3 linked regions of the Caenorhabditis elegans genome follow. The protein of the gene in region 1 purifies or fractionates together with the protein of each later gene. This does not show direct contact. Each region holds a gene or a part of one and is shown on either strand. Other genes may lie near its edges.

Region 1 (5,750 bases):
AGAAACGAAATATTCTTGTATGGCGATTCGTAACCTTTTGATACTGATTCGCTTTGAAATGCTTCTTCAAAATCGAGACATTTCATTGGAACTGGCTCACTTTCTTCTGGCATTGTTTCGGTGCATTCGAGCATCTTTTTCTGTTGTTCTGAAAATATTTAAAATTCGAAGAATCTTTCTTTTCTACAATATAATACCAACCAAGCATTTTCGCCTGTTCTGCGTTTGATTTCTTTTCGATCATTTGTTGGACGAACATTTCGTCATCTCCAAATTCGTATCCAATAAATCCTAGCGGACGCGACATTTTTTTCCTGAAATTACCGCTATATGTCAGAATTTAAATGTTTAGAATTGAGTAAGTATAGAGCTTGTGACGAATTAAACGTTAGGCCGCAATGAAGTAATTGTATTGATTTCTTCTTCTAAAAAATAATTCTCACAAAACAAATATTTATTTGATGTGAACAAAAACGGGATGTGAAGAAAATTACTCGGGAATTTACAATAAAATACAAAAAAAAATCGATTGCTAGACAGCCTAGCCGGTGGGTACTTTACAAATTTTAAATTTACACAATACGGTTAAAAATAATGAAGAAACGAGAAACAAGGTAAAAAACATGAATCAGTGGGCAGTCGGTGGTGGAATAGAGAAATAGTGTCGGGCAGTCACATGAAGAATGATTCTGAAAAATCAAAAATAGGAACATGGTCCGCAAACACGGTAGCATATTAACGCACCACTTCTCTTTTCTCTTTGCCTCTCCGTTGCTGGCGGTTTGAACAACCTTGCGAGTGTCCCCTCCTGGCTGAGATGCGTGCTTGTGCTCCACTCTGTCAGACTTGGTGCGCTTTCCGCTTCCAGTGGTGAGATCCTAAAATTGAAATTATTCAGTTTAAATACAATATATGCATTGCACTGACCGGTCCTCCGGTTTGCTCGAATGCGGCAGCCATTTCTTCAGCAGTCGACGACATCTCGTTGGTAATTTTCTGCAACAAAAAATTATTATAAAGCTTAGAGACGTGTAAGCAACACAAAAATGAGAGAATGAACCGACACAAGAATGACCAAAACAAGTGTTATCAAAGTGAAATGGACGATGATTGGCAGTTGCATGATTAGAAAGAAGTAGGCAGAAAAGGGAGGAGAGTGCCAAGAAAACAAAACTGTGAAAGAACCGATTGAATAGCATTTGAAACGATTGGAGTGTGTTTATTTGAAGGACGATAGTGACAAATCTAAATTTTGGCGCGCGTAGTGTTGACGAAGATCAAATCTATTTACAAGTGTAAATGTTTAAAATCGATAATTTGAAATTTTCGATTAGGAATAAGGCTGAAAAGTATTTAAACAAAGCTTCAATTGAGAAATACCAGAAAAATTCGTTAAAAATTTTCAACGAGTTTAAAGGAGGGCGCATTTGTGTGGAATTTGTGTGGCGTAGAGATTTCTTTATTGATTTTTCTCGTTTTTTTTTTTTAATATTCTGACTTATATTGCGTTTATCAGCCATAATAAATGTTAAAAAGGTCGAAAATGAGAAAAATCAATGGAGAATGAAAAACAACTCTAAATGAGAGTGCGTTTTTGTAGAAAAGCTCTACAAAAGTGAGAAATAAAGTAACGTTTTCAGGCTTTTTTTCAAGAATAGAAATCTGCCTGAATATTTTTAGCGAATCAACAGCAGACGGACAGTTTCATTCAAATACTCGTATTTATACATTTGCGTTGGCGCCAGAGACACGTGATGGATAGACGAGCGGAGACCATCGAAAAAAGTAAAAATGAAAAGAGACGCAGAGCAGCACATTTTGAGGGCTGACTTGTTTCTGCTAGATATATTGGTGCGGTGTCATCGAAGGCACAGAACAAAAAGAAAAAAGAAGCAAGAAAGAAAAAAAAGAAACGAACAAACAAGACAAAAAAAATAAATCGATCGGAACAAAGCACCGATAGATCATAAAATGGTGATAAATAAAACAATGTATATCGAAAAGAGGAATGATTTATTTTTTCAATGGAGGGAATGAACACAATCTCATTAAGGCCTTAGAATGAGAAAATTCGGCAAGTGATACAGTTTTTGATCATGGACCTGTGACAATAAGTCAAAATTGCAAGGGGTGAATTAAAGGTTTACAAAGGATAAAGAAATACATTTATGTCGTGGAGCGCAAAGTAGGAACGTGTCTTGTCGTGAGCATTTAAGCCGAATAAGGAGAATAAGCTGGTGGAGCGGTTCCGTGGTCATTCTGAAATAATTTTAATTTAAACATTTATTAAGCTTTGTAGAAAGACAACAAAGGAAACAGTAGGATGAATCATGGACAAGAAACCGACCCCCTTGTAATAAATTTCAAAAAAAAAGTCACCATTTTATCAAGATTCAAGGGTATCTGTTGTTCTGAAATTTGACAAATCACTATCTTTTTCCTTTTGGCTAATCTTTTTTCCAACTATCCACTTACAGTCTGCACGTATATGTTCTGAACGACAGTCTTCTCCTTGCAAAGGATGATGTACCACGCGTGAATGATTCCTGGGATGATCCCGAGACAGGTGAGAAGAATGTTGATGAGGAGGTCACAGTTGCATCCAACATCCAGAAGCACAGCGATTGGCTGGAAAATAGTGGTTGAAGAATGGTTTCAGACTGAAGAACTCACCGGAAGGAAAATTGCAAGGATGGCGAGAAGAATCTGGCACATTTCGTTTTCGTTTCGACGAGACTTGAGCTGAAAAACAGAGATTATTGGGAGAATTGCAAGTATTGAAGATAGATTAAAAAAGTGTGAGATTTCGGTGATTAAATTAAACTATAAAGTCATCACTTCCAGCAACACGGAAGGTTTATCGATTGACGATGAATCAAAAAATTGCGCAATCGACGAACGCGATTGTGGTTAGAATCACAAGACAACACCTCGCTCGTTGGCTATCGCTGTGTGTCTGCTCTCTCTTCAGAACTCTCGTGCTCTAATACAGAGAAGCATGAAATGTGGTGCTTGGTGCCTAAGGAATTTTTTAATATAAAAGTTGACGTGTCAGAATCATTCATTTGAAGAAAATGCAGAAGAAGAAGTAGAAATACTGTGAAAATTGTTTTTAGTATGGGTTGTAATTGTTTATTTCAGACAGTAAATTGTAAAGCTAAATATGTTGTGAAAACAATTTAATTTTAGAAATATTATTTTTAATCTTCAATCAATGTAGCAATTTTCAAGAGAAAATAATGCGAAAACCTGATTTTCTTTTGATAAAAAAGAATAAAGTTTGAAAAACAAACATGTAAACAAGTTACGGTGAATGTTCACAGAACCTGCATACAGATTCGGTGTTTGCGTACATGTGTACCGTACCCACAAACAAAAAACATGCGTTGATTGGAAATTTCGCAATTAACTTTTATTTTTGTCACTAAAATTATTATTAAAATATTTAGTTTCATAATTTCTCATAAAATATTTTCAGATAATGTCCGATATTGAGATTATTGAAGAAATTCAACCAGTTTCGTTGAAGCGGAAGCAGCCGAGTACTTCTTTCAATGGAAAAAGGTTTCTTTTTGGAAAATAATCGAATTTTTTGATATTTTCCTTTTTAGAAAAAGAACTTCTTCTGGGCTTATAGAAAAAAGCGAAACAATGAAAGGAACGGAAACAGAGTTTGAGGTAACCTTCACAATATTCACTTCAGTTGATTTTTTTTGTTTTTCAGAAGTTCGTCATTGATCGCACCATCACTCCACAAAGAAAATTGAATGCAGAAGATGTAGAAAAAAGTGGAGAAGATATAGGGTAAAAAAATATATAGTTAATTCAATGACTTTTCCAATAAAAATTCATTGCAGGTCGAGCGAGTGGCGTAAACGCCTTGAATGCACTCTTCTCGGAAGCGTTTCGACCCCAGTAACTGTGAAGAAGGAGAATAACATTAGAAAGAAAATAGTAAGCTTTTATTCATTCACAAAGCTTCTTAAACTAGGAATTTGTTTCAGTCTTGTTTCAATTGTGATGGCGAACACAACCTGAGAGATTGTACTCAGCGGAAAGATTTCAGACGAATTTCAAGGAAAAAGAGGGAATCTGGTGATGGAAGGCAAAGAGTTTTCTATAATGACGTTGGAATATCAAAACAAAGAGAGAAACATTTCAAACCTGGTGTGATCAGCGATAGATTAAGAGCCGCTCTTGGATTGCGTGGGAATGATATTCCGGAGCACATTTATCGAATGAGAAGACTTGGGTTAATCGATGGATATCCGCCAGGCTGGTTGAGAAAGTATGAAAATGGTAAATTTATGCAATTTAATATTGTTATTAATTTCAGATCAATCAAATCCACCGATCAATTGAAATTCTTCGACTCGACATCCAAAGAAGATGATGAAATGTCAGTGAAGCCTCCTGAATTAGATACATCGAAAATTGTATGGTATCCAGGATTCAATGGAGAACAATCTTCTCTAAATGATGTAAGAACAAATATGTTGTCACTTTAGAAATTACATTTTTATAGCGTGAAGACTTCAAGATTCCACCAAGAGATGTATTTTGCTCAGTTTATCAAGATGAATTGCTGAAAATATTCAAGAAAAGTGAAAAAGCGGAGAAACGAAGAGCCAAATCAACTCCGAAACATAAAAAGTTCGCTAATGAAGATGATGATGATGTTATAGTAATCACAAGTGATGAAATCAAAATTGACAAGTTCAATACTCCGGGAGAAGTAAATTAAATTAAAATAAAAATTCAATATCAGTTACTTTTCCAGGAAGATTCCATTATAATACTCGACGGCTCTGCTTCAACAGAAGAAAAACACCTTTTGACTCCGATTCGAAAAGATGTAAAACTAGGAGAATCGATGTTTGAATTAATCGGAACTCCAGTGTTTGGTAGCTCTCTTCTTACTCCTGTTGCTCCACTTGAAGCGTTTGCCGTCGGAATTCAACCATTTGAAGCAAGAGAAGAACTTACTGGATGCAAGGGAAACTTCAGAAATCTCATGGACAAATTGAAAGAAATCCGCGAAAATAACTTCGTTCCGGAGCCTGAAGAAGAAGTTATTTTGGTTTCAACGAATGAAATTTCGTCGTCGAATAACTCTGGAACTGCTAAGAACAAAAATAATCAGAACAGGAAAAGAAATAGAAGACATGCTAAATGAATTGGCTTTTTGAAAAATCCTTTTGTTGAATTATTGTTGTTGCTTAAAATTGTTGTTGTTGTTCCATATTTTTACGCAAAACTACCATGATAAAACCTTTTTTCTTGATTTTCCAACCTCTCTCTTGTTGTAAATGGTTCCGAATGTCCACAATCTTCTATTTTGGTCATCAATTATATCTTTATCTCTGCGTTTCTTTCACTCTTGCCGCTTTCCGATGGATTGGTGACACACAGCAAATATCGGTTTTCTCAATTTAAACTAAATTGGTCTAATTGGCTTATGTTTAATCAGATTATTTCGAGAAACCTGTGAATATTAAAAAGATGGTATAGGTTTTGAGGGATTTTTTGCCGAATTTATTTTTTAGAAAGTGATGGAATTTTTTATGATTGCAAATTTTTTTAAAAATTATTTAAAAACGAGCTGAATTATTTTTTGAATTCCCGCGCAAACGAATTCCTAAAGTTTCGACGTTTTCAGGTTATATTATTAAGGTTTTTATTAAATTATTGATTCGAAACATAATTTTGTAAAACTTTCATACATTTTTTCCCGCAAAACAAGTTTACAT
Region 2 (5,750 bases), on another chromosome or scaffold:
GGCTAAAGTCGCAAGGAAGAGCAGACAAAGTTTGAGCATCGTTTGAGCAGATTCTCAGGAAGTTTCCGTGAGTTTTGCTCCCGGTTTTTATGGGATTTTCGGGTGACAAACATGTTTTTCTGGTCCCCAGCGGCATGTTTACACTAAACAACAACTGTTCCGTTAGATAATCACCTAATCGCCGACTTTTATCCGTTTCTCATCTCGTCTGATTTCCCTGATTTCTTATCATTTTCCTGGATTTCTTATCGATTCCCGGTCGACTCCTGAGCAATGTTCAAAGAAATTCTGCTCATTTCCACTGTTTTTCTGCTCACTGATGCCTTGGGAGGTATTGTTGGGAGTAAACAGACGGTCACTGTGGTCGGCAAACTGGTCTGTAACGGAGCACCGGCTAGAGACGTCCGTGTGAAGCTTTTCGAGGATGGAACTAGTAAGTTGAAAGTTTCAAATTCGATTTTTTCAAGTTGAAAATGTCTCACCACGCTGTTAGCTTCAATTTGGCACTCATATTGCCTGTATTTGGACAATTTTTGGTTTTAGGGCACGGCGCGGTTGCGTCGCGGTTTCTAATAGTCACTATTTACCGTAAAATTAGAGCAGTTCGTTTTTAAGGATCAAAATTACGATTTTTGTATTTCTGACGTTCTTAGCTTTTATTTGACCCCCATAACGACTATATTCGGATAACTTTGGTTTTTTGAGTGCGGTGCGGTCGCGTCGCGTGTCAAATGCAAAAATTATTGTAAAGCTCCACAATGGCAAACATTTTTGAACAAAGACGTTGTATTAATCATAACTCAAAAACTTACCGCGTTGAAGCATGAAAAATGCAATTTCAATTTTCGCCGCGTTGCGGTCGCGTCGCGGTCACACACCCCAAAATTCAAATTTGTCCGAACATAGTCAATATGGGTGTCAAAATTCTTGTCTTGACCTGGAAAATCTGAATTTCCTAGTTTTAACAACAAAAATGTTAACTTTGAACATTTTATTTCACAAAAATACAATTTTCTGCAGTCTACGACACGAAAATGGACTCGGTGAAAACAATTGCTGATGGAACATTCAAGGTCTCGGGATCCCAGAATAAAATCCGCAAGATTGACCCGAAAATCAATATTTATCATAAATGCAACTATTCTGGAGTAGGTTTTTGGAGAAAAAAATTGAAAAAATTCGATTTTTTTCCTATTTAAAAAAAATTCAAAAATTTTGAAATTTTCAGCTCTGCCCAAAAAAAGTGACTATTCATGTTCCAAAAAATGCAGTTGGTAAAGGATCCAAAGAAGCTCAACTTTTCGACATCGGAACCCTCAATTTGGCTAACAGATACCCAGGAGAGGGCACTGATTGCATTCATTAAACTTTTTTTGTAATTTTTTGATAATTTTTATGTTTTAATTGGCATTTTTCATAAAATAAACGTTTAATTACAATTTTTAAAGTGTTTCTGTAAAAAAAATGAGCAAATTCTGACAAATATAGCCTAAAACCATGAGAGGGACACTTATGGGACACCTATGGGACATTCGGGGACACCAGGGGACATTTTAAACAATAAAAATGTAAAATTCGTGTTCTTCATAAAATTTGCAAAATTTTAACACCCATATTGATTATACTCTGAACATTTGGACGTTTTGGCCAAAAAACGGCCCAGAACGGCCTGAAACTGGCCCGAAACTCAAAATTTATTGAAAAATAGATTTTCTTCACCTAAAACTTCAAGATAATTTTCAGCCTTTTGATTTAACTTGCATAACAATGAAATGTTGAATTTCAGGCCAATTTCAGGCCATTTCAGGCCGTTCTAGACTTGAAATATGAGCACCACGAATTTAGGTCAAGGTAAGTGTAGAAATTTTGCAGTAATAAGAAAAACCTAAAAGTGAAAACGCAGTTCCAGAAAATCTAGAAATTCAGGCCTGAAACGGCCTGAAACGGCCCGAATCGGTCCAAATCATTTCGACAAGCCCAGTTTCTTGAAATATAGCCGATGTAAATGTCAAATCCATAAAAATGATATAAAAAATATTGCCATGTACATTAAAAAAAAAATTTTTTTTGGAAAAATATTTGAACCGTTCAAAATTAAACCATTTTTCATGTTTTAATTTGCAATATAAACGCTTAACTACATCTATGCAAGTGTTTCTGTAAAAAAAGAGCAACTTCTGACAAATATAGCCTGAAAACCACGAGTGGGACACTTATGGGACACCTATGGGACATTCGGGGACACCCGGTAAAATTTTGAGAAATATGAACTCAAAATTCGTGTTCTTCATGAAATTTGCCTAGTTTTGAAACCCATATTGGCTATGTTCTACAAACTTTGAAATTTTGGGCAAAAAACGGCCCGGAGCCTGAAAATGGCCTGAAATACAAAACTTTCCTTTAAATAACTTTTATTTCACAGTTTCAAATTTTTCAAAAACGTTTGCTGAAATTATCGACATATACCCGTCAATATTTGTTTTCAAGCCTAGAACGGCCTGAACTGTCCTAAAACTGGTCTGAAATTCAATTTTCCGCAAACATAACCAATTTAGTAGTTCCTTATACAAGTTGGCAAATTACTACAAACGCACTGGCATTAAACTGAGTGTATTGATATTTGGGCTCCAAAAAGCCCGAAACGGCCTAAAACTGGTCTGAAATTCAAATTTCCTCGAATATAGCCAATATGGGGGTCAAATAAACGGAAATTTTATGAAGATTCCAAATTTTCATGTAACAAGGCTTGAAAAAAATCAAAATTTTCAATAACTTGCTCATAAATTAATTTTTCAACCCCCTGTCAACACCAAAAATCTATAAAAGAACCCCAACAAATTCGATGTCGAAATGTGCAGAATCACCCCGATCTTTCCAACTTTTTCCCCCGAAAAAGTGGAAAATTTTACGATTTCGGCCATAAAACTCGGAAGCTTAAAAGCCAACCGTAGCCCGAGGCAATCAAAATTTCGCCGCGAAAATGCAAGTTTTCGTGATTTTCCTGGTGGTTCTACCCATTTCAGGGGTAGTTTCCATCAATATTACAGAACCCGAATTTTTTGAAATTAATATCGATCGGGACCATCCGGAGAAGCTCTACAAGGCTTTTGAGGATTTTAAAAAAAAGTGAGTTTTTTTAATAACGAAAACTTGGCCCAAACTTCAAAATTTTGAAAAATCAATTAAAAATTCGGATTCCCCATAGCAAATAACCCCTACGCCTGAGTTTTCAGAATTTTAGTGCAAAATCCCGTCAAATCGGGTGCCGGGTACGCAAACACCAGGCTACAGTAACCCAAAACACCGGATTTGACGACATTTCGCACGAAATTGTTGAAAAATAGGGTGCAGGGGTAATTTTGGGTGGAGAATTCGAATTTTTACATAATTTTTCAAAAAAAAAATGGTTTTGAAGTGTTGAAATTTCGATTTTCAGAAATAATTGAACATTTCTATTAAAATTTTTCAGAAATCTTATTGTTGCCGTTTTAAGCCACTTTTGAGAAAAAAAACATAATTTTTCACAGGTACAACCGAAAATACAAGGACGAGTCGGAGAATCAGCAGAGATTCAATAATTTCGTAAAATCCTACAACAATGTCGATAAGTAAGTGAAAAAAAACATGGCCCAAACTTCAGAATTTTCAAATTTCGAGTCGAAATTCGGATTCTACGTAGCAAATAACCACTAACCCCGTTTTTCAAAAATTTAGCGCAAAATTCCGTCAAATTGGGTGTAAGGTCCACAAACACTAGGCTACAGTAACCAAAAACACCAGATTTGACGCAAAATTGCACTAAAGCGTTGAAAATTTCGGGACAGGGGTAATTTGAGGCGTAGATTTCGAATTTCATAATGAAAATGTTTTAAATTTGAGTTTAAAAATGAAATTTTTGAATAAAAAATTTCGAAAAAAAATTTCAAAAAAATTTTTTTTTTTCGGTTTTTTTTCAATTTTTTTCAGATTAAACGCAAAGTCAAAAGCAGCCGGATATGACACCCAATTTGGCATTAACAAGTTTTCTGACCTATCCACCGCCGAATTCCACGGCCGTTTGTCCAATGTAGTGCCCAGCAACAATACAGGGCTCCCAATGCTCAACTTCGACAAGAAAAAACCGGATTTTCGCGCGGCCGACATGAATAAAACACGCCATAAGCGTAGATCAACACGCTATCCAGACTATTTCGACTTGAGAAACGAGAAAATCAACGGGCGATACATTGTGGGCCCGATCAAGGATCAGGGGCAATGTGCGTGTTGCTGGGGATTCGCGGTCACCGCACTGGTGGAGACTGTGTATGCAGCACATTCTGGAAAGTTTAAGGTAAAAATAAAACAATTATTTGAAAAATTTGAATGAAAACTGTGAAAGTTCGAGGAAAATCGGTGAAAAATTGGCGTGAAAACTCGAATTTTTCGATTTTTTTTTGAAAACAGAAAACATTGCCGTTGGAGCGCATTTACACCCTCTAGCCTGAAATTTAATTCTATTTTTCTGTAAATATATCGTAGATCACATTTTTTGCTATGTTTTCCATTTTGAAAAATGGCAAAGTTACGTTAGTTTCAAGTGTTTAAAGCGAAGTTGAACGAATTTTCAGTAGGTTCTCAGCGGAGTGCGTTTACTGCTTTTACACTAAATTTTATTAGACTTTGACTATTTTAATATTAAACTTTGCAAAAATTGGTATTGTACACGTTTTTTAAATTTGGAAAATCTTGAAAATTGGCCAAATTACGGATGTTTCAAATTTTCTAGTCAAAATACACAGAGTTTTGAGGAGTTCTCATTGGAGCGCATTTACAACCCCTAAACTAACTTTTCTCTTATTTTTTTGTGCATAGTTAATGTAGATCACATGTTTCTCTACTAGTTTCTTTTGGAAAAATAAGAAAATCTTGAAAACTGGCCAAGATACGATTTTTCACAAATTTGGGTCAAAAAATGAGAAATTTTGAAATATTCTTATTGAAACGCATTGGCAAGCCCAAAACTAATTTTTTTTTTCAAATTTTCAATGTATTTAGTGTAGATCACATGTTATTTCACTAGTTTCTTTTTTAAAAATAAGAAAATCTTGAAAATTGACCTATTTACGGATGTTTCAAATTTTCTAGTCAAAATCAACAGAATTTGTAAGAATTCTCATTGGAGCGCATTTACAACCTCAAAACTGACATTTTTTCATGATTGACTACTACAAATATAGCAGATCATATAATTAGGCGCAATTTTCAGTTTGAAACTAAAAAAAATCTTAAAAATTGGCAAAGTTACGGTAGTTTCAAATTTTTCAGTTAAACTTGGCAGAATTTCAGAATTTCACTGAATTTTTGAATTTCTATGTAAATTTTTGAATATTTTCAGTCCCTATCTGACCAAGAGGTTTGTGATTGCGGTACGGAAGGAACACCGGGATGTAAGGGAGGAAGCTTGACCCTCGGAGTCCAGTACGTCAAGAAATATGGGCTTTCTGGAGATGAAGACTATCCTTACGATCAAAATCGGGCTAACCAGGGCAGAAGATGTCGTTTAAGAGAAACTGACAGAATTGTGCCGGCTGTGAGTTGGAAATTTGAAAATTTGAAAAAATTCCAAAAAAAAAAATTTTTTTTTCAAAAATTTTTTTTTCAAAATTTTTACTTTTTTTAGAATCAAATTTTTTAATTTTCTACCAAATTTTGTTCAGAGAGCCTTCAACTTTGCCGTAATCAACCCACGCCGAGCCGAAGAACAAATCATC
Region 3 (5,750 bases), on another chromosome or scaffold:
CGTAGACTTATCCATAACAATAACACTGTGTGAAGCCCTGCTTCGGGGTGTTGGGAGGCTTCAGAGCTTCAAAGTTGTGAAGACTTATGACTCGAGAATTCCCAAAGGAGATCTTCTACGTCTTCTTCCTTCTTCTTCTTCTTCTGCCTCCTAATTCGGGCTTGACGGATTTGATGTATCGCCGCTCGGAAGGGGGAACAGATGGCTAGCAGTAGTAGTAGTAGGGTGGGTAACAAGGCATGAACGGTCAGAGGCAGGCGTGGAGAGGCAGCTGTCACCGGGAATCGTGGTGGGAAGGGGACAGATGGTCCGAGTATCATTATTGTACAGAAGACCTACATGGAATTGGAATTGTAGGAGATAATAGAGGGGGGTAAGTAGAGTCGATGCACCATGACCTGGGCTCTGCAATTTATTGGAAAAAGCTTGGGAAAAACTTTTAAAAATTCTGAAAAAATGATGACATGGTGCATCGAGCATGTTTCTTTCGTCACTAATAAACCTGACAGGTGGTGGTGAAGTACCGAATCGGAACATGGTGCATAAGAAAAGCGGATTAGGGAAAAAGAGGTCTTTGATGAGAAACGCGTTCCTAAAGAACAGGTGGTAAAAAATTTTCATTTTGATTAGAAACAAATTTTGCAAGAAAAATCAAGGGGCAGGTGGCACCGGAATTTTCAGACGAAAATTTGAATTTTTAGGGAAAAATTTGGAGTCCGGGGAGTCACAGTGAAAGTAGAGAATTTTCTGAAAATTTGAGTACATAATTCAGTACTTCTACAGTACCCCTGCAGTGCCCCTAAAGTAACCATAACAGTATCCTAAGGTTTCTCTACAGTACCACTACAGTACCTCTACATAACCGCTACAGTACCCCCTTACAGTACGACTACACTAAACTACAGTACCCCACACAATATCATTACAGTATCCCTACAGCAACGCTACGTCAACCCTACAGTACGCTTACAGTATCTATACAGTACCCATACAGTGTCACTACAATACACCTAAATTGCTGACCCCCCCCCCCCCCCCCCCTACTTGACAGACGATACAGTACCAGTACCCCTACCAAAATATTTCGTTTTTTTTTTCAAACAATTAAGCTTGGCAATCCTGACCTACTCTAAATAATTAGACCATAGGCCGTGCATTTAGGTGTATGAGGGATTAAATAATGGACCCCCCCCCCCCCCACTCTCAGAGACAGATGGTACTGTATCGTCTGTCAAGTAGGGGGGGGGGGGGTCAGCAATTTGACCCACTCGGATGAACTGTGATTAAGTAATGGATTTCACGAATGGGCAATGTGTTTTTCTGAGGAAAATGAAAAAAATTCAGAAGAAAAACATGCTAATTCAATAATCTTCCCACGGCTGTCAATTATGGGGACTGTTTTTTCAATATTTTGGAAAAATGAGACTTCGGCAAGTGAAGGGTTCCTATGTATATTGGGATTAGTGTACTGTCGGGGGTACTGTAGGGTTACTCGAGGGGGTACTGTAGTGGTGCTAGGGGGATACTGTAGGGGCTTCTGTGAGGTTACAATTGTGGTACTGTAGGGTTACTGTAGGGTTGCGGTAGGGGTTCTGTAGTGATACTGTAGAATTGCTGTCGGCTTACTATAGTGTTGCTGTAGTGTTGCTGTAGGGTTACGGTACAGATACTGTAGGGGTACTGTAGTAATAATTTAGGATAACTCGAGGGGTTCCTTAGTGGTACTGTAGTGATAATTTAGTAGTACTGTAGGCCTATTGTAGCGTTACTGTAAGGGTATCATAGTGGTACTTACTCGATGGAGTACTGTAGCATTACTGTAGGGTTACGGTAGCGTTTCTGTAGGGGAGCTGTAGTGGTACTGTATGGTTACTGTAAGAGTACTTTAGGGTTACTGTAGGGATGATGTTGGGGTACTGTAGGACTACTGTAGGAGTAGTGGGACTGAGACGATAAATTCTTAATTTTCTTCAAGTGGTTTGGTCAGTCACCCATACATCCCGAGAAGTCTATTCCATTTCCACCTGTTTCAATGTAAAAAACTCAATTTAAACATTCAAAACTTTATTTTTTCTACTCAAAAATCAATCAATCAGCTTTCTGTGGCGACTTTGCAGGCGAAGCACTAGTTGGCGTACGTGCTTGTGGTGGACGGATGCGTGGAAGAACCGGTGCACGGGGGACCAGGTCTCGACGCGAAATCACACTGCAGGCTTCGATAAGGACTGAAAAATGAATATTGTAGGTTTAAGGTAGGCACATGGTAAATAAAATTTCGAATCACTAAAAAATTGTATCAGTAACCAGACAACAAACAAGAGATTATCAACGGATTTAGTACTGAAGCCTCTGAAAAAGAAAATAGAAAAATCCGGTTGTTTTGCTACCAAAAAAATACGTTCAGGATAATTTTTTCGCTGAAAAAAGGGGAGAATTATCGATTTTCTCTACCTGCAACAATTCCGGTAGACGGTTTCCATTGATTTTCCTCCAAAAACAGGAATTTCATATTTTTATCAGTTTTGCAAGTGATCGCCGGCGGCGAGAACGGGAATTTCGGCGGAATTGCGACGGTTACGATGTACTCGGTGTAGGGCGGTCCGTACTGAAATTTGATTATTGATTTTTTTTTTGCGTGGCGCCGCCGCTCTCACCGTCTTTAGAGTCACGTCAAAGCAAGTTTTCGACGGCGGCGGCTCGAATCTCACCGCGTAGAACATTCCAGAACCCTCGACAGCCGACGCCTGGAAAAGAATTAATATTTAGAAAATACATCGATTTTTGTTCTGAAAGTAGGGCTCCCATGAGGTCGCCGCATGAATAGTGTGGCGCGGAACCGCAAACATGTCGGCCGCTACCAAATAGCCGCTCCACACACACAGCGGCGCGCGGTGTCGGCGTAAGGCCGGCCGGATAGGGCCAGAGAGGGGCCGGCGTGAAGCCCGAATTTTGCGCCTCACTCAGTTGGGAGCCCTGGGAGCCCCATTTGAAACATTTTTAACTTTCCCAGAAATTCTCGACAATTTTCTGAAAACCTGTCGGTTTTTTTATTGATTTTTCCCCAAAAATCAATAAACTAGAACGCTAACTCACCACGACGCTATCGATCCGTTTTTCGCAAACTTTTTGCATTATTACTTTGAAATTTTCGTGAAATAAATGTTATTCTGGTGTTGGTTGTGTTGTTTTTTGCCGTCGACAGTGAGTTTTCACGTTTTATCGATTTTTTCGAGCATTATCGATTTATCCCGAAAAATCAATAAACTGGAACGTCACGATGCTATCGATTCGTTTTACGCAATCTTTTTGCATTATTGCTCTGAAATTTTCGTAAAATGAATGTGATTCTGGTGTTGGTTGTGTTGTTTTTCGCCGGCGACTGTGAGTTTTTCATGTTTTATCGATTTTTTTCGGAAAAATTATCGATTTTTTTAATTTTCAGGTGCAAAAATCAGAAAAATTATTGATTTTTTGGAGAAAGATGCTCCGAATGATATTGAAAAAACACCCAACTATAATGAAGAAAGTCTGGCGGTGAAAAGGGTAAATTATCGATTTTTGCGATGGGGCGCGTTTGCATTTTTATGGAATTTAAATATTTTTAGAACAAAAACTTCAATCCTTGTCTGGAAAATCCGAAAATTTGCTCAAATCGGGGAAAATGCTTGCATGAAAATGGAAAGTGAGAGTTTTTGCCAACTTTTCAGATTAAAAAGGCAATATTTTCAGCTTCTATTGCATTTGCCCGGTCACACATTACGGAAAAACGTGTGAACACGTGTCAGATCAAACGAATTGCGAGAAACACTTGTGTCAGAATAATTCTACGTGTGTCAGGTTGGAAAACATTCGTTTTTTTCTGTGAATTTTTATGGCAACTGTTTCGGTGTACACAAGTTGTGTCTATGCCCTCCAGCCGTTAGTCGCCGGCGGAGAGATGGCCGAGCGGTCCAAGGCGCTGGTTTAAGGCACCAGTCCCTTCGGGGGCGTGGGTTCGAATCCCACTCTCTTCAGTTCTTTTTTTCCCTTTTTTAAATTATCATTACCTCTGTTTCAGCATCAAAAGCCTGCGGACTATTGTCAATACAGTTCTTTTGAGACAAATTCGTGTCCAAAGAAAAGTAAACGGATCCAAAGCAGCTTTAACAAATGAAGAATTGGCTGAAATCGATTTAGAAGTGAATTACGAGTGTATATGCCAAAAGGGGTACTTTGGCGGGTTATGCGATGAGTCTGAAGCAGATCGAACTTGCCAAGAAGTGTATTGTTTGGGCAGAGGCAAGGGAGCAATTAATGCGACTGGAAAATGCGAGTGTGAATGTGAAAATCAATTCTTTGGAGATAGAGTGAGCGTTTACAACTTCAGAATTTCTTCTGAAATATGTTTAAATTCCAGTGTGAACAAATATCAGCTTGCTTCGACACTCAATGTGATAATGGTGGAATATGTGAAGATGTGGTAGATTGGAAGGTATTTTTTTCAAGATTCGAGAAAATATTTTATCTAAACATAGAAAAACGTAAGCCCAATGCGGGGCTCGAACCCGCGACAACCAGATTAAGAGTCTGGTGCTCTACCGACTGAGCTAACCGGGCGGCGTTAACTCTTACAACAGAGGGTCTAGAGAAATGTTGGGTAACAACGAGACTTGATAGACAGAACAAAAAGTGACCTTCAAATTACACACCTTCTATTTCAGACCAAAACCGTCACTGCCACCTGTAAATGTCCTTCTGCGATTGAACTTATTGGTGGTACTGTAACAGGTGGGTAAAAAAAAAAAAAAAATATTTCAAATTCTGTGAATTTCAGAAAAATTTCAGGTGAAAACTGCGAAACCCTTCAAATTCCTTCAACAGCCCCCAAAGAATTTATTCCATGTGCCGAGGGAAGTAATTCGACGATGTTTTTTAAGAAATTCATCGCAAAGTAGGAAAAGTTTATAGAATGGTTGTAAAACTCACATTTTCAGTATTTCCTTGGAATATATGGATGACATTTCGGAGTTGGAAGCAATTAAAAATGACTACAATGATGGGAAGAATGTCAATGGGACGATGACTGATGGATGGTGTAGAAATGATGGGAAGTGTGTACCTGAAGTTGTTCGAGGTAGGAAAATTCAATTACCACAATTCTCCCGGTAACTCAACTTTTTTCTAACACCTTTTTGTCAGTACGTTCGCCGCCCGGTTAGCTCAGTCGGTAGAGCACCAGACTCTTAATCTGGTTGTCGCGGGTTCGAGCCCCGCATTGGGCTTACGTTTTTGTAAAAATTTTTAACACCGCGCTAAAACGTATGCACAAAATTCTGGCCTATGCCTGCCTTGTTCCATTCTCATACCTAATGTTTCAGTGAACAGCTCCCGAGCCTACTACATCTATCGCTGCGAATGTACCAATCCTCTCACCGACGGTTACTATTGTGAGTACAAACGCCATGACTCTTGCTCTTTGACTCGAGAGGAGGTGGCTCGCGGGGACCGGTGGGACGAAAAGTGCACGGATTCTCAACACGGAGCATGTGTGGATATTAGTGGAGTGGCTCATTGTGTGTTAGTGCACCTACCTGCCTGCCTTTTACCTAGTAGCCCTAATTTCAGATGCAAGCCGGACTACACCGGCGAGAAATGCGAAATCTTCGACCCGTGTGCTCGGCAACCTTGCAAGCACGGTGACTGTATCCCGGTAGGCACATCGAGGCCTCTGAAAATCAGCGAAAAAATTTCAGATACCGAACACTGCCGAC

The links.
Region 2: the proteins of ZK632.11 (region 1) and Y51A2D.8 fractionate together in Caenorhabditis elegans (co-fractionation; one large-scale study listed by BioGRID). This does not show direct contact.
Region 3: the proteins of ZK632.11 (region 1) and spe-9 fractionate together in Caenorhabditis elegans (co-fractionation; one large-scale study listed by BioGRID). This does not show direct contact.

Annotation. Positions count from the first base shown.
Region 1 is NC_003281.10:9,824,437-9,830,186, forward strand, and holds ZK632.11 (uncharacterized protein), read left to right. Parts: upstream 1-3,478; 5' UTR 3,479-3,481; coding exon 3,482-3,564; intron 3,565-3,611; coding exon 3,612-3,678; intron 3,679-3,724; coding exon 3,725-3,804; intron 3,805-3,857; coding exon 3,858-3,954; intron 3,955-4,004; coding exon 4,005-4,288; intron 4,289-4,336; coding exon 4,337-4,481; intron 4,482-4,525; coding exon 4,526-4,735; intron 4,736-4,780; coding exon 4,781-5,176; 3' UTR 5,177-5,283; downstream 5,284-5,750. Other genes in the region: Protein lin-52, read right to left, coding at 1-148, 202-307; ZK632.9 (uncharacterized protein), read right to left, coding at 689-689, 745-878, 928-981; UPF0057 membrane protein ZK632.10, read right to left, coding at 2,212-2,259, 2,476-2,628, 2,674-2,715.
Region 2 is NC_003283.11:18,551,077-18,556,826, reverse strand, and holds the start of Y51A2D.8 (Cysteine proteinase), read left to right. Parts: upstream 1-2,976; 5' UTR 2,977-2,980; coding exon 2,981-3,126; intron 3,127-3,527; coding exon 3,528-3,608; intron 3,609-3,966; coding exon 3,967-4,330; intron 4,331-5,374; coding exon 5,375-5,569; intron 5,570-5,696; coding exon 5,697-5,750. Other genes in the region: ttr-25 (TransThyretin-Related family domain), read right to left, coding at 1-39; ttr-24 (TransThyretin-Related family domain), read left to right, coding at 274-433, 1,021-1,148, 1,229-1,366.
Region 3 is NC_003279.8:11,583,633-11,589,382, reverse strand, and holds the start of spe-9 (Sperm transmembrane protein 9), read left to right. Parts: upstream 1-3,313; 5' UTR 3,314-3,335; coding exon 3,336-3,381; intron 3,382-3,442; coding exon 3,443-3,543; intron 3,544-3,605; coding exon 3,606-3,682; intron 3,683-3,729; coding exon 3,730-3,837; intron 3,838-3,926; exon of another isoform or gene 3,927-4,025; intron 4,026-4,057; coding exon 4,058-4,346; intron 4,347-4,396; coding exon 4,397-4,471; intron 4,472-4,523; exon of another isoform or gene 4,524-4,596; intron 4,597-4,700; coding exon 4,701-4,767; intron 4,768-4,824; coding exon 4,825-4,930; intron 4,931-4,973; coding exon 4,974-5,113; intron 5,114-5,182; exon of another isoform or gene 5,183-5,272; intron 5,273-5,357; coding exon 5,358-5,556; intron 5,557-5,604; coding exon 5,605-5,689; intron 5,690-5,732; coding exon 5,733-5,750. Other genes in the region: C17D12.5 (UBC core domain-containing protein), read right to left, coding at 2,089-2,225, 2,452-2,605, 2,655-2,744, 3,094-3,132. UniProt on the Caenorhabditis elegans protein: Required for fertilization. May be required for cell adhesion and/or function as a signaling molecule.